Linked DNA regions of Mus musculus: all the other regions are reported to be linked to region 4. The links are microRNA targets in miRTarBase. Many come from high-throughput screens and were not tested one by one. Region 4 holds a microRNA gene; each other region holds the end of a gene's coding sequence.
Evidence for each region. The annotated mature microRNA mmu-miR-200b-3p reads UAAUACUGCCUGGUAAUGAUGA and lies in region 4 at 1,673-1,694, opposite strand. An mRNA with a match to its seed (bases 2 to 7 or 8) in the 3' UTR can be bound and repressed. Matches are read on the target gene's strand: a 7mer-m8 pairs with bases 2 to 8, a 7mer-A1 pairs with bases 2 to 7 and ends in A, and an 8mer does both.

Region 1: the mRNA of Plxnc1 is a reported target of mmu-miR-200b-3p. Seed matches in the 3' UTR shown: 7mer-m8 at 3,346-3,352 and 7mer-A1 at 2,645-2,651.
Region 2: miRTarBase lists Zfpm2 as a target of mmu-miR-200b-3p. Seed matches in the 3' UTR shown: 7mer-m8 at 448-454 and 7mer-m8 at 987-993.
Region 3: the mRNA of Cradd is a reported target of mmu-miR-200b-3p. Seed matches in the 3' UTR shown: 7mer-A1 at 643-649.

The regions. Positions count from the first base shown.
Region 1 is chr10:94,789,553-94,793,552 of GRCm38, forward strand. Plxnc1 (plexin C1) reads right to left here. Exons shown (of 31, transcript NM_018797.3): 31 at 1,314-3,738. The coding sequence ends at 3,634. It overlaps Cep83 (centrosomal protein 83), which reads left to right. Exons shown (of 16, transcript NM_029852.2): 16 at 152-784. The coding sequence ends at 256. Among named protein-coding and RNA genes, the nearest start is that of Cep83, 100 kb to the left of the region's middle.
Region 2 is chr15:41,103,353-41,107,352 of GRCm38, forward strand. Zfpm2 (zinc finger protein, multitype 2) reads left to right here. Exons shown (of 8, transcript NM_011766.5): 8 at 1-1,240. The coding sequence ends at 224. Among named protein-coding and RNA genes, the nearest start is that of Gm46502, 69 kb to the right of the region's middle.
Region 3 is chr10:95,171,887-95,175,886 of GRCm38, reverse strand. Cradd (CASP2 and RIPK1 domain containing adaptor with death domain) reads left to right here. Exons shown (of 3, transcript NM_001330138.1): 3 at 1-1,148. The coding sequence ends at 210. Among named protein-coding and RNA genes, the nearest start is that of Gm29684, 28 kb to the right of the region's middle.
Region 4 is chr4:156,054,013-156,058,353 of GRCm38, forward strand. It overlaps Mir200b (microRNA 200b), which reads right to left and starts at 1,738; the gene lies at 1,669-1,738. Gm13648 (predicted gene 13648) reads right to left here. Exons shown (of 2, transcript NR_132444.1): 2 at 1-17. It overlaps Mir200a (microRNA 200a), which reads right to left and starts at 973; the gene lies at 884-973.

The sequences.
Region 1 (4,000 bases), not on the chromosome of region 4:
CTTAAGAGTGCAGTCTGAGGCAGGAGAGAAGAGCAACTAGTTTTTACATAGCTAACCTGGGTCATTTCTGTGCCACACTTTGGAGGCTTATGGAAGAGAGGCAGGGACGTTCCTAGTTTTTCTAGGTTTCTCTTAATGTGTCATTTTTAAGGAGGAACAACATCAAAGAGAGCTCTCTCTCCTTCGCAAAAGACTGGAAGAACTGGAGACTACACAAAGAAAACAACTGGAGGAGCTTGGGTCTCCTGGGGAGTGAAGCCTGAAGACAGGCAAAGCCAGAGACTCAATAAAAGTCTGACGGGTAACGTGTGGCACTGAGACGCCTTCTTCCTGTTTGCCAAAATCCATGAGCTGCCTCAAGAAAAGGTACTAGCAGCGCACTGCATGGGCTCCAAGATTTTAGGATTATACTAAGAAAATGAAAGTATTCATATATTTAGAACATGCATTGACAATCTTTTGACAATGCAAAAATAAAAGGAACTAGTTAGTTAAAAAAATCAAGTTTTCAAATTAATTTCTGTTTTGTTGATATTTTCTGGCATTTTGCTTGAAATATATCCACCCTGAAGTCCCTTTTCCTCATCTTTGAGATGCCTCCTTGGTAATGACAAAACCAATAAACATCTCCTTTATTATATATAAAAGTTTTGGAAAAGATAATCATTTATAAGTATAAAAACCACTTAAAAGTTTCTAAACATGTTTATTATAGAAATCTTTACCTTTTCTAAAAGCTGTGCACTTAATTTATTGAATAACTTAATAAATATTTTTGTATCTCTGCTGTTTGTGTTTAATTTTCCTGATCATAGAATATGTACTAAACAGTTGAGATGGCATCACTTCTGTGGCTTTGGTGAGTTTTAGAAAATGAAGTCCTGTGGCTGTAAAGAGTTGTTGGTCTTACTTGAAGCAGTGAGGTATTGAAGTACCGCTGACATTTAGTTTGGTTTCTCACTGTTAGGTAAGGATCAAATAATGATGTTTTATGTCCTTCTGTTTTCATTGTGCATCTTTGGAAGCTTCTTTATGTAATGTTTTAGAGGGATTCCACTGGAATAATTTCATGTCAGCAAACGGAAGCTTAAATTTATGTGGATTTGTCATTGTATAGACGTCTCAGCAGCCAAAAGTCAGGTTGCTCACTGAAGACAGGAATATAAGTGAGCAGCTCTTGGCGCCATTTAGCAAGGAGCTTGGTTTACTGAGCGGAGCTGCTTATTTATATGCAATGTACCGTGACATCTTGTTCCTGGAAAGTAATTTAGGTTAAGAAACCTATTAAAACTAGAAAAGACAAACAGTCCACATTTGTTACATCAAAATGTTTATTTTTGGATATAGACATTTAAAACATTCATCTCCAAGAACAACTTCAGTCAGGTATACAGTAAGAAATAGACTTTAAATCCTAATACAGAAAAGATAACAGAAGTAATTTTTAAGTGCTGCTTTAGACACTAGTGTTAGAAAAAAAAGTTTATAAATTAATTGTTTTGCACCAAAAATATGCAAAGAAACTTGAAACTAGATACTGTTTGTCATTTGCTTCTTTAGTTGTTGAATAGAGGCCCAGTGACTGATTGTCTTCAGCACACATCTAATTTGGACATTCTGTGCATTTGGCTAATGGGATCCAAAGTGTGATCTAGATAGTGCTTTCCACTGGAGGATTGACAAACACACTACATACATTAGTGAATCTTCACACCACCTCAGTGAGGTAGGTTAGAAATAGTATACAGAAATTGAGGCACAAAGAGGTAAGTGACTTGCCCAAAGTTCCTAACTCCTGAAAGAGGCGGTAAGGCTCACACAGGACTCATGTCAGAGAGCTGGACAGGGACCCCCTGGTGTAGCATTTGTAACACAGCTAAAGCTGTGGCTCAGCCTTTGCGTTTCTGTTCCCCAGAGAAGGGAAGGTTTGTTGGGCAATTCTCCTACCCTTGGCTCTCAAGTCTCCTCCAACTTTTCTCTTAGGAATGCCTTCACCTCTTTAAAGACGGTAGCAGCTTTAAATGGGGACCAGACCTCTCACCTTTCTACTTAGAAATAGACTATTTGGTAGTAGTTTTGAGATGTGTCCATTGGACAGACAGTAGTCACAAGAAACAAGATTGGGAGGGCGTCTGTCAGGGCAGCCACTGCACTGTTGAGGTGTCAGATAGTAAGGAAGAGAAAGGACTGCCATTTACCAGGACATTGCAGTCTAGATGGGCCAGGCAGTGCTGGTAAATGGTTTTGAGGAATGTGTGCTCAAGGTTTGATTGGCTGATTGAAAGAAAAGTCCTTCCTAAACTGGGGGTTTGGAACCCCAAGGGTAGGGGTGCCTGCCACAAGGTAAGTGAGAGGGCCGTCAGGTGACACTTTTTACTTCTGTTTAATAGAAGGAAAGCACAGTGGTATTAAAATTGGTCACGAGCAGCAAAAATTTGGGAATAAAAAAATCAGCAATAAAAAAGACTACAGTATAACTTGATAGGAAATTCTTTGAAAAAAAAAAAAAGAGGCACGAATAAAATGAGTATTTTTAAATCTTTCTCCTGTAAGGAATACTTTCAAAAAGTACATAGTAAGACTAAGATACCAAGTTGTACTAATATTTTCCAGGCCTTGGGCCTCAAATATATATATTTATATATAATACTCCAATGTGAACAACAATTTGATGAAATGTAAAATGTATCTTTTATTTTAATCACACACAAGTATTTATAACCACAGGGTTCACCAGAAATCTAAAGCAAGGAGACACTAGCATAGAAATGTAAGATTACAGGAGTGACTTACACATCCACAGACAGTTCTGATCAAACAGAAGTAAAGTCATGAACTCTTTTTCTTACAATACCCAACATGTCCACTACCAGATACATGAAAAGATAAAAAAGAGACACACCGTAGGACAGAGTCTGGGAAAACTGCTGTTGCATTTCAGTGAGACCCACCCACTCTCCTTGCTTTAGAGCTGCGTTGATGAGATGGAGGTGGGCTGAGGAGCCCGGCTGGCAACCACTGAAAAACACGAGCCCTTTCAACAATGTTGCAACACTGTTAGTTTTTGGTTTAAACACACACACTCACGAATGCTAAGTGTACACACTACCAAATTCTGCCTTCAGCCTTTCCAAGAACTACTGGGGAAAGAGGAGGAATGCCGCAGACCCTCAGGGTTGCCCTAACACCCCCTCCGGGTTTCCAAAGGACTCCTTCCACACTCTGAGCTTTGTTAGTATCCCCTTTCTTCTGCAGAAGTACAGTGTAGTCACAAGTACTACATAGCTGTAGTTTTCCAACAAAACCACTTAGATATCATTGTGCTTAAGTGGAGACTGTAGTTACAATACTGACACTTGCTTACTGGCCCTGTATTCTCTGTAAACAAGGAGGCTGTTTGCAACAACCACTTCAGCTCTATTTACAGAAAGGTTCCCACGATATACCCACAGGCACAGTGGTTGATAACGCTTTCTAAAAGCTGTGCATGTGCCTTGGTCTCCTAAAGGACAGTGCTCGAAGTGGAACCCATGTGCAAACTTAAGAAATTAACGACAAAGAGTAGCTCAAGCAGCCAGTTTGCTCCCAAGCTGTCTGAAGAACTTTGTCAAATAAAGCCAGGCCCCAGGGTGCTTACATCCACTTGCATTTCTTCTTTTCATCAAATAAGACTTTTACATGCAAGAGTTGTTTCTGAGCTTCTTCCAGCCCTCGTTCTCTTTCTAGTTTATTTAGAATCTGTTGACAATTAGAACAGTTATTTTACATATTAGAGTTTTAGCAGTACAATTCACAATTCTGGTGGGCTTGCTCTTTCTCTCTCTTTTCTTTTTTGCATTCCTGATGCTGTGAGTGGTAAAAATCTGTATGAAACAGATGCCAGCAGTTTCTTCGATCATTTCCATACTCACTTTGCAAGTTGTTTTGCTAAGTCATTATCACAGGATCAACAACACTTGGGCTTGAAATAGAAGCCCGAAAGAAATACCATCTATTTGCT
Region 2 (4,000 bases), not on the chromosome of region 4:
GGATCTCTGAGAACCCATTAGCTGCAAATGAGAATGTCTCCCCAGGAATTCCCTGCGCAGAAGAACAGTTGTCTAGCATAGCAAAAGGTGTGAATGGCGCCAGCCAGGCTCCCAGCAGTGGAAAATACTGCCGGCTATGCGATATTCAGTTCAATAATCTTTCGAACTTTATAACTCACAAGAAGTTTTATTGCTCATCACATGCAGCAGAACATGTCAAATGAACTAACTGAGTTACTAAAGAAAGCAGTCACCTTTGGTACCCGTGTTTAGTATGTTCTTCTAAACAGTCCAGAAAACAAAGACGCTGTTTGAATTACATCTGGCAATCAGGAGATAATTCATTATGGCTGAATTGAAGACTTAAGGTGTAATTTCATTACAGACCATTAGTAAAGTGTATTATTGGTGCCATTTTCAGAAAAAAAAATTAATTTATTTTACCAGCAGTATTCATAGCTGTGGTTATGTTATTTTTATTTAAAAACTTTATATTAAAGTCATTTGTAATGATTGTATAGTTCTTGTGTAGCACATATGGTTTGCACTGTATAGTAGCTTTTAAAGAAAATAGTCACAAACAATACAGAAGAGCATTTTAGAAATAGCTTCAAAAGCACTTGTGTATTCTGATTTTTTCTTATATGCTGTTGCAGATATTCGTATATGCTAAAATATAACCTGCAAACATGTTCTAAATACACATGCTATAAGTTCGCCTTAAGATTTCAATTCTTGGATAATCAGGCTCCAATTGCACTTTATATTTTAGCAAATACAGTCTCTTAGTCACTAGGCTTTGCATTCGTATGTAGCCGTATATTTCTGTCCATTTTCTCAAACAGAAACATGTATGTTAAGTGAAGATGGCATTTCTTTCTTGTATAGTACTTGTATTTTCTTTCGCCGATGCAGCCCTGTCTCAATTTTTCAACCTTTGCTGTTAAATGCAATACTTTATAAAGAATGAACAAAATTACTGGAAGCAGTATTGTCAGTAATGGAGTAGTATTCACCAGTTTTATCTTTTGAAAGGCACAGTCTAAATCGAACCCCTAAACTCAATGCTGCAAGTATGAATTTAATTCATATATAAGATCTATTTAAATATAAGAGTAGCAATACTGCACCTGGTGATCACAAAGATAATGTTCTACTTCTGATAGAAATAATTTCTCAACAAATGTTGTTACTATGCATGTACATGGATGGAATAAAATTCCAAATTGTTGGAGACGTTTGATGGTCTGGGCTTTTTTTTCACCCTGAGCACCAGGTAAAATATCTAGCTCTAATTGTCACACAGTAAATAGCAACACTTTATCATCAGTTCCCTGTTCATGTCTGTTGGCAAGTTTCCCCCAAAAATGGCTGTGACAGCCAGTGTTTCATTTAATTCAGCCTTACTCACTTATTTTCAAGGCATATCAGCCTAGGACACCACACCACACTACTGTGACTAGAAACAGCAGCAGAAGCAATAAGAACAACAGCAACAACAAACTGAGATTAGAGGTGTCCCCATTTGACAGATTTTAGTATTCTGTAATGGATTTAAATTCCATAGAACAGTCTAAATGCAATCAGTGACTATAAACCATCGTCTTTTTACCACAGATATTCGGACCACTCAATTAATGCTTACAATCAGACCTCAGTTTAAAAAATTATATTCAGCATATATGTTAACGTTCCAATTAATCCCAAAAAGTAAACCATTGTAGGGGCTGTTAAGGACATTGAATCCTTTTTCATTTTCCAGCCGTACCAGAGGTTCCAAATTTTTAAGGGCCAAAAGTTTAAAAGCTAACAAGAAAGAAGCGGAAACCTGGGAATTATTCTCAGCTGTCTGTGCATCCACACCACACAGCAAAGCAGAGGCTCATGATAGTGCCAAGTGTCTTCCATGTGACTCACAAGAAGGCAGCCTTTGTAAGGGAAAACACTTCAGGGATGTCAGGTCAGCCTACTTCAGCTTGCACTCTAGAACTTGAGCAGCTGTGGAGATTTCCAGAGTGTGTGATGCCTCTGGAAACCACTGCCCGTGCAAGTGTGACTACACTGCTTAGTGGTAACACTCACCACCATGCTGCACTTTGCAACATGATTGCTCAAAAGCATCAGAAGGAACATCTGATGTTACATCCTTAGTGTGCATCAATGGCAGATGGAGAAAGCAGTGGAAATAGCACTTCTTACCTAGTACTCACAGCTTCCGGGTTCTCTGTGTCATGGGTGAATCCATGGCTCCCAGCTGTGTGTTCTACACTACTTCACAAGTAACCCCAGAGAGAAGCATTTCCCCCATTCTTGTCTGGGCATATCTTTAGGAAAGTAAGCTCTGAAGAGCTCCCCTACAGCCTTATGCCACCGAAGACTCCAATAACTATTAGGACATTATTCAGTTGGTCATCAGAGGCATTGGCAGGCAATCCAATACTTTTGTATGTTAAATTCATTAACATTAGGACCAATTCCCCTTTGCTTAGTGATTTCACACCCAACAGGCAAACAAATGAAAATTACAAAACACAGGTATAGCACATTATACCTATGAAGAGAAATATTTCTCTAATTGAAATTGAAAGGATAAAATAACTAAGATCTGTTTATTTCATAGGTGATTTTTCCTATAAAGTTATAGAAGGGACAAAGCCCTTGACAGTACCACACATCAAGCACACATTCAGAAAAAAAGCATGCCTTTGTTTCTGTAACTCAGTAATGTCAATAAACAGTAGACAAATCTTGCTCCACAACAATGTTAATCTTTTTTATTAAAAGCCAAAAGTACTTAAAGACTTTTTTTAGATGATATTATTTCTAGATTCCAGTTTTCATAGAGCTGAAATAATCTCATCTTGGGTTACTTTTCTACATAACAAATGAAATATCTGAGTAATAGGTATTTTCAGTCTTAGGGATTTAAGAAGTAAGCGACAGCCTCCTCCAAATTCCTCATTTGTCTTCAATGTCATCTTTTAATACTAAACCCTTATTAGGTTTCCTTTTGGTAAGATCAGTTTTAAATGTTTGGCATTAAAGCTAGATGCTCAGGTTTTACATTCAACTGAGTCTAATTTCATGAGTTAGTATCAGCAGTTTCTGTGTATGACTCGGGCTTGATCATCATAAAATTATGTTAAGAAGAAATGAATCTCAAAGAGTGAATTAAAACACAAATTAAAGAACTAGGTCCTGGAAAGCATCTATGATGCTTTTAATTTCAACATCTGTCTACTATTTTCCCTTTCATCACTCCTGGACCTCAAGAATGTATTCTAAGTGTCAGCGAATGGATTGGTAAATGGATAATGGAAACAGAAAAGAGTTTGTGCATGAATATCTAAGTGAATAAAAAAAATCAAAGACTATATGAGTGGTTGCTTGAAGGTTAACCTTATTTCATTAAATTGTTGATGGAAAGGAGCAATGTGCCAGATAGTTTTCAAGAAATTTCTTTTAAATATGGTGGCTGACTCTTGAAGAAAAATAAAACTACATCCATATCTGAAGCTGTTTACCAGGAAAGTCTGTCATAAATTATTTTAAACAGGAGTTTTATGTAGGAAAATAATCACAAATATATATATATATATAAATATATATATATATATATATATATATATATATGCATGTATGTGTGTGTGTGTATATGTATATATATGAAAGCATGAGGGGACTGAAAAGCATTGGGGAACTTAAGAAAGTAATCCCAAACCTGCCTGCATACTGGAGAAGCAAAAGGAAAATAGTATTTCATGGAGGGAATATCCTGCACTCTGTTGAAGTCTTGGTTACTGTGGGTTCCTTGGCACTGGAACCCTGCAGGAAGCTGGGGAGCCCAGCTCTCACGGCTCACAGTGCTAAATCCCAAGAAGCTGGATTACAGCCCATGTCCCACTAAAGCCAGAGCTCAGGAAGCCTGTGCTAGACACTAGAGGATGAGATTGCCCTCACCTGCCTTTAGGAACATTCCAGATGCACAGGGCTCTACAAT
Region 3 (4,000 bases), not on the chromosome of region 4:
TGGGAGCCCGTGGTCCTGTCTCTGGGACTGTCCCAGACCGACATCTACCGCTGCAAGGCCAACCATCCCCACAACGTGCATTCGCAGGTGGTGGAGGCCTTTGTCCGCTGGCGCCAGCGTTTTGGGAAGCAGGCCACCTTCCTAAGCTTACACAAGGGCCTCCAGGCAGTGGAGGCTGATCCCTCCCTGCTCCAGCACATGCTGGAGTGACCTGACCCCCCCCCGCGCCCCCCCCCCACTTGCTGTGGGGGTGGTGGGGCGTGGGTTCCCAAGTCACACTGGCTGAACCGGACTTTTCTCAGCAGGTGGCTTTGTTCTGGGCTTTTCAGTGATCTGTTTACGGAAAGAGATCGTCCACCACTCACTCAACCATCGATTGGCTTTAATTGCTTGAAGACTGCGCTGTTGTAACTATGGTTTGGAACTTTGTGGCTGGCCTTTAACAGGAGGCCAGAAAAAACACAACACCCACCCTACCCAACCCCCCAAAAAATCATGCTACAGCATCGAATGCAGGTGTCCTGCATACAAGGCAGCTACACTTGTGTTGCCTGGAGACTGGATTGTGCATTTAGCTCTTCATAATGGTGATGATAATAAAAAAGCAAATTGTGATATAGAATGTGCCTCTTTCAATGAGAGAGTATTATATCACACACACACACACACACACACACACACATACACACACACACACCACTCTTCTGTTGCATAGACGGAGGGTGTAAAAATATGGGAGTGGAGCAAGATTGATAGCAGTCATGTGACGACGGAGATAAATAACTCAGGCAGGATGTATAGATTAAGCATGAGACACCGAAGCTCCCTGCAGAGGCCAGGGAGAGAACGGAAGACCTTCATCTTAACAAATTGTATGAGGAGTCTCTGTCCATTTGTTAAAGGCATTGGATCAGAGACAAGAGGGCTCAGTGTTTCTCTTGAGGCCTGAATGGCTGAAGGCGGTGAGTTCCCGAGGGGCGTCATGGGTTGTCCAGCCTTTCATTAACTGCACATAGTGTTAGCCAGACAGGTGTACGTGTTTGTCATCCCATCTAAGAGACTGAAGCAGGAGGATCACCTGTACATGACTGCTTCTTTCAACATTTTAAAATGTGTAACTTCTATTAAATTCTCTCAGTGCAAATAAAGTGCGTGTCCATTGTGTCCTTTCAAAAACCTAACAATAGATAAGATGAGGAGAAGCAAGAGTCTCCTTGTACTCCCCGCAGTCAGTCAGCTTTGCTCTGCTCTGCCGTCAGTTTCTTAGTTAAGCCCGCCCGCACATCCCTTCTGCAGCTGGAGCAGGATTGCCCTGTAAGGCTCTTTAACACTTGGCTTCCTTGCCTTAACACATAGCACTTGTTCCAATGCCAAAGGCCTTTACAACATCCTTTGCTCTTAGAGCACACTTGCAAGAGCTATCGTTTTGGCAGCACCTTTAAAGAGATTGAAGGCACTCAGCTTCTAAGTCTACCAACTGCTTTCCCCATCAAGAAGTTCGCTGGCATTGCAGTTCTTGCTTGACACACCCATAACCCCACCCCACCCAGAACCAATCCGAGCAAACTATTGTTCACTGCCTGCACTGTGCACCTTGCATCCTCACAAAGCTTAGCATGTCTGCATTCTGAGTTTTGTCCCTTGCCCCAAGATGTCCTCTCCACTGTACTACATCTAATTACCGCTGTGTTTCTTTTCTTCAAGAGAATGTTAGGGGAGGGACAGTCAACACAGAAGTTGCACACAGCCCCTCTGCTTCCTGAGGGTGTATGCGCAATTGACAGTTGCCGGAGGGAGAGACTGGCAGTATAGTTGTCACCTGTAAGTGTCCCTGTGACTTCTCACCATTGTCCTCACAAGTAGTCCTAGTAAAACTCATTCTTGTACCAGTCCAGATTTGGGTGGAGTGGTTTCTTTGGTCTGTCATCTTCAGAAGCCCTCTCTGAGGCACACAGACATTTGCTCAGATCTTTCCGGAAAAGCTAATGCGGCTGAGAGGCTAATCTCATCTCTGTTAATTGAGGACATTAAAGCCGACCAACAAAGACACAAGCCCTACTCTCTGGAGCTCACTGCCACATGAGACAGCCACAGACCTCTAATCACAACATGATGTGACAATTCCACTCCTGAGTACTGAGCCAGTGGGAACAGAGCAAAAGGACCCCCTCTGGTTTGCTTTTGAGGGGATGGGGGGCCTGAAGAAAAAGAAGGCTCCGTCACTCAGGTAAATCACTCCACCTTCTTGGGCAGGTTTATTCACGTATGCACACTAACTGGTCTATGAGTGCAGAGGATCTGCCAGAGGTAAAAAAGATAAATTGTTCATACAGTGGGTTTGGACAAGGAAATGTCTGAGCTGAATTATTTTGGCTACTGAGTTTTGTTTTGTTTTGTTTTGTTTTGTTTTCCCTAATATTCTTTATCAAGCCAGGGTCCCTCAAAATGTTAGGCTGAGGTCCCTCATCCTTCTGGGGCTTGTACAGCAGCTGAGAGTGTGCAGCTCTTCTGGGCATCCCTAGGGACTCAGGGTAAGGAAAAATGAACTGGCAGCACACGGCAGAGCATGTCCAGAACCTGGGTGGGACTCTGATCTAACACTTAGCTCTCATTAAATGAATCCCTACAGTTGGGGCACAAATTCTTGCTGGTTACAAAACACCCAAGTTACTGGAGATCCGAAGATAAATAAGACACAGTCTCTGCCCAGCAGGATCTCGGCCCTCCAGGAAGGCAGCCATAACAGCCAGGCAACTCTGACACTTCACAGAAAAGGGAGCAATTAAGTTGGCCACAGAGGAGATGACACTTCGGCTGAGCTCTTGTAAGCCCTGCCCAAGTTAGCGTGATAGCCCCCCCCTTAGGGGATATTAGGAGACACCAGAATTCCATTTAATGTCTTCTTCATCCAGCTTGACAAATGGCACTCCTTCCAAATGTCTACAAGATGCATATGCCTCCAAAATGCTATCTCGGAGCCATTAGAAACTAAACACATTGACAAATACCATCCTGTTCCATACTTCTTTATAGCAGTGGAGTGTTCAGCCACAGTAAAATCAGGATCAGGCTTCAAGGATTTAGGTATCAGGCATATTTGAGGGTGCTTTTTATAGCACCCCTCTCTCCCCCACCCCAACACTTGTACAAATTCAAAATAGATGTTGCAGCATACAGGGAATGTTTTTAATATAATGTCTTGTTTACTTCCCTGAACTATAAACATCTGAGAGGAACAGGGACGTCTGTCTTGTTGGCACTTACTGTTCTTATAGGAAAATTAAAGTCTCTCAAAGACACAGTTCAGTGAGCCAATTAAACCTTGTCTCTGCTTTGTTAAGCTCACGAGAAACATATGGTAGTGATTCTGATAGCTATTGTTCATTCAAAGCATCAGCTATGAAATCCAGGTTTGAATGCTCAGAAAGAAAAAGCAGATTCAACATCTTGGCAATAAGCATGTATTTCCATCTCATTTTCGTATTTTATCTCTAGCCAGTGCTGTTTTGGGTGTCACATTACATTCTTGATGGAGAGTATTTTCGGAAAATGTAAAATGGGCTGGATGTCATGAAATAATTATTCTTTTTGCTCTTGGTGACACTTAACCGTCCCTGTTTCTAGGGAGACAAATTGGTGTTGTGAGCACCTTGCCAGTGCCAATGACTTCGAGGTGACTTAGCTCAGTGCTGACCCCGGATGAGGCTGGATGCCTCCTCATGGCTAAGCTGGAAATAGATGGCAATGACCTCGCGCCTCTGGAACACACTTTGACCAAGGATGAGGCATCTGCGCAGGGGATGTCTATGAAGGCCCAGAACATCTGCCGTAGGAAGTGGTTCTTCTCCATTGAAGGGCACAGATTTCTTCCTTTACAAATATTAGAAAATGATAGAGACTTTCTTCAGAAAACACATTGAGCACTTGCACACTCTGATGTGCACAGATGCAGACATGTACGTATAATGTTCTACACAGACATGTTGACATATAATTTTGA
Region 4 (4,341 bases):
GCAGTTGGATTTGATACCTGTAGAGGGAAGGCCAGGGTTGGCTTCCTGCCTGCTCTGGTCCAAGGGCCATTCTTGGGGTTCACCCTTCTAGGACCTGGGACTACTCTAAGGACTTTCTTACCAGGGCCCAGCTTGGTTGCCTGTTCCTCAAGTGTGGAAGTCTGTGGGTGCAACAGGAGAGTCATCTGCTCACTCTTACTTGGCAAATGCTCGTCATAGCACCTCTTTGGTTTTCTGAATGGCTGTCAGCTTAATGAGTAACATTAAAGCCAGGAACAGACTCCTTCCCCCGGAAGAGTCATCTAGGCTGATACTGGGTGGGGCTCCCTGACCCTGTACTCTGGCTCCAAGTAAAGAAAGATAAGAAGTAATCCTGGATTCTGGTTTGGGGCAAAGTTCCTATTCTGGAAAGCCATTGGGAAGGAATAGAGATTCCTTGTTCTTAATTAGGAAACAGCTGATGACGTCACAATTCTGTGTACCAGGCTCAGGTCCCCGAACCCACCCTTGCCCATTGGTCCCATAGGCACTGACAGTCCTTATGCTAACACTGCTATCCATGTCTCCTTACCTAGCTCAGCATCCTCACTAACCCTCACAGTCTCTCTAGGAATCAATGAACCCCCAAATCCAGCAGAGGAGTTGGCAAAGGTGGGCATCGCTGCTCTGAGAATGAGTGACAATCCACTTCTACTCCAGTACCCCTGGCATGGTGAAACCATCCCTTGTCCCAGCATGAAGTAATAGACAAGGGTCAAAGTCCAGCCCCCACTGACTGCTGATCTGTAGAGCTGAGACAGGCCCTCTGCACCCAGCACCCAGCCTCGGCCTAACTGGAGTCCAGGAGGACAAGTGTGTATCATCAGCCTGTCTTCGGCGAATGGTGGGTCACCTTTGAACATCGTTACCAGACAGTGTTAGAGTCAAGCCAAGAAATCCAGCACTGTCCGGTAAGATGCCCACAGAGGCCCAGGTATGCTCTGGCAGGAAGACACAGGTGGTTTCCACCCTCAGGGAGGCCCAGTGGAAACCTGATGCCATGAACAGCCAGAGACCGTATATGCATCGCAATAAGCCAGCAGAGATGTTGACCCTAACTCATACGGTCTGCTTTGTCCAAAGCAAGGGGACAGTGACACATTGGCTCAGTGTGCATGTTGGAGGTGCTGTTGGTCAATAGGTCGGTGCTCACTTGATGCAGGAAGGTAAGGTATCCCAGGCTTGAGTAGCCCCACTAGGGGGTCAATCAGTACACAGCTCCTAGATGTAGGTGAGGCAGTTTTTGGCATGAGGCCCTCTGAGCCTAGGCGGAGACTTAGCCCTTTAGAGCCTTTGCTGCACTTCCACCCAGCGTACACCTGCCAGGTGTGGTGGCAGCACCTGCCTGGGTATTGTATGCAGAACCCAGGCACTTGACTGTCCTAATTCCCAGGGCATTGGGAGGGGGCGCCCCCAGGGCAATGGGAGGAGCCTCTCACCCCAGGATATAGAGTGGCCCTCAGAGGTGCCTGGTTTGGGGGAACTCTCCCTAAAGCCTCCCACCACCCATATCGCCAAGGCTAACTCTTTGCCCCATAGCCCTACCTTGGATAAGGTAGGTGAGGTGTGGAACTGGGGCCCCTGGAGGCTGGGATCAGGAGGCGGCTCCATTGCTGCATGCAGGGCTCCGCCGTCATCATTACCAGGCAGTATTAGAGATCAGACACTATCCAATGCTGCCCAGTAAGATGGCCACGGCTGCCCAAGTTGGATATGGAGGCCGCCTAGCAGGGAGTTGAAGATGACTAGATTCCATGGGCAGGGCCCAGATGCCTAAGTGTCCTAATCCCCAGAGCATTGCAGAAGGAGGGCACCCCTTCAGGACAACAGCAGAAAGCCCTGCATTCTCATCTCCAAAGATAGGTAGTGGAGAGGTCAACAGCTTGAAGTAAGATCAAGTTCTCTTTTGGAAATTAGATGGAAAATAATTAGGATGGGGGTCTTATAGGCCCTGAAGCCTCTTTCTTGCCTCTCTATAAGGCCCAGAGGAAGGACTTAGCACCCATGGCCATAGACAAGTTCCCCTGCCCAGCCAAACCTGACCTGCAGTGGACTAGCTTGGGGCCCAGGTGAGGACTTTGAAGGGTCAAATAGTCCTTCCCAGAGGCTGACAGCCCGAAAGAGCTGGGAGGCAGGCTATGTAGACTTCCATGTGACCAATGGCCAGGTCAGGATCAGGTCATAGACAGGCCCTCCATCTGAGTATATTCACTACAGAATAGCCTAGACAACAGGTCCAGTCCCATTAGGGTACACAGTGTACTTAAGGTTGATGAGGTTCACTCAGTGGGCCTCTGTCTCCAGGATACTGTTCAAGTCTACTTTCCTGCCCAGCCCCTCTTGCCTTTTTCAGGGCCCAAGAAGGATACTGGGATGAGGGACCAGGGATCCAACACTTCAAGCGTATGGGAAAAGCAGCCCCCAGTATGAATACAATAATCACATACCCATAGAAAGATCTTTTTGTTGCTAAGGACATAGCCTGTAGTCTCCCATACAGAGCCAAGAAACTAAGCACCTGTCCCAAGGATACTTGGGACTGAAAGAGACTCAATCTGTGCCTCTCCTCATCCCAAGTCCGTCTTTACAGAAGTATTTCTTCTCGTTTTTCTGGTCTTTTCTATCACAGACACAATACAGGTGGCTCAAGCCCTGTACTGATTTCCTCGGATCACAACGAAGGCGTGTGTCACTGCCTCCAGGCAGCCGCTAGTTCTCCAGCCTCTCTCCTGAAAGCCAACATTTCTGAGGACCTGACCTGAGCACAGGCTGAGCAGATGGGAATGGACACTCTATAGGAGCCTAAGGTTTTAGAAACTGTCCTAACTCTTCGTCTATCGCCTACAAGGTTCCCAGTGCTCTCAAACACCCGTCAGATATACTTCCCCTTTCCCGAACTTTTTTAGTTCTATCCTATCAGATTCATAAAACCGGTGCTTCAAAAGGACTTTCTCTCTCTCTCTCTCTCTCTCTCTCTCTCTCTCTCTCTCTGAGCTTTGGCAAACTAAGGATTCTATTTGAGAACTAAGTGGACTAAGCAGAATTTCAGTTATCCTTGTGGCTTCAGAGCCACAAAGAGTGTGGGAGCTGGGTGAGGGTAAGCACCAAGGATGTTGCCTTTCCCCCTTCTGGTTGTGCCAAAGAAACAGGGAAGACGAAATGGTATCTAATGATGAGCCTGATCCCTGCATCCTTGACTACTCAGGGTGAGCACTTCTTAGGGAACATGGGAGGCTAGGGGACTCTGCCAAGTGCATAGCTGGCCCGGGCATAAGCCAAAAGGTCAGATATATGGGGGCAGGTGCTCAGACAGCAGTGTGTGTGTGTGTGTGTGTGTACAACCTTCAAAATGCAGATTCTGTAGGTCCTCCAGCAAAATTTAAAGGCTGAACAGATTCTAAAAGTCATGAGTTGGGACTGGGTGTCTTGGTGTCCAAGCACTGTTGAGTATGGGGGACCCTGCTTTATCCAGCATAGGGGGAAGGGAGAGACAAAAACATGACAGAATTACAGCCATAGGTCAAGAAATGAAAAGCAAAAACAGGGGTTCTATTTGGAGCCTGTGTGGTGCCCATCTGGTCAGTTGTATCTGAAAGTGAGGTTCAGGTCATGGTCCCCACAGCTAATTATCAGCATCTACTAGGCTTAGTTTAGGAAAATTAAGGAATGGATCCAGAAGCCAAGTGCCCCCAAGGCTCCTCTGCAGCAAGCACCCTCCCCCTTTCCAGAGTGCCTTGATCCTCGCCTGCGAGGCCAGGGAAGGTTGGGAATTTGTGGCAGAGGAACGCGTTCCCAGTGTGGGAAGTTGCTGGTTAACTTGCTCAAGGGGCCTTAATCAATGCTGAGGCCAGAGAACAAAGCTCTGAAAGTCAACCTCTCCTAACTTCGATGCCAGCGGCTGTGGGAGGGGGAGGGTGGGGGCAGGAAAGACTTGTCTTGTCTACACTCAGGCTACCTCTTAGTGGCTGTTGGAACTGCGTGTCTTCAAGGCAAAGCCGCCATTTCATCCACACAGCCGTCAGCATTGTCCCTTAGCCCTTCGGTTGTATAGCTCACCCTCCAGGTCCACTGCACCCCTGAGTGCCAGCCTCCTGCGACCGGGGAACTTCCTTAGGCCATTTTACACACTAAGAACATCCTGGCAAATTGATTTTGCAAATAAAGTATTTGCAAATTACCAAGATGCCTGAAAATTAACAATGGACTATATCCATATTTTATGGCTCATTTGCATTTTCATAAATGCAAAACATTTTGCTTGATTCAACAATCTACCGATTGCTCCAACATTTTTATCTAGGT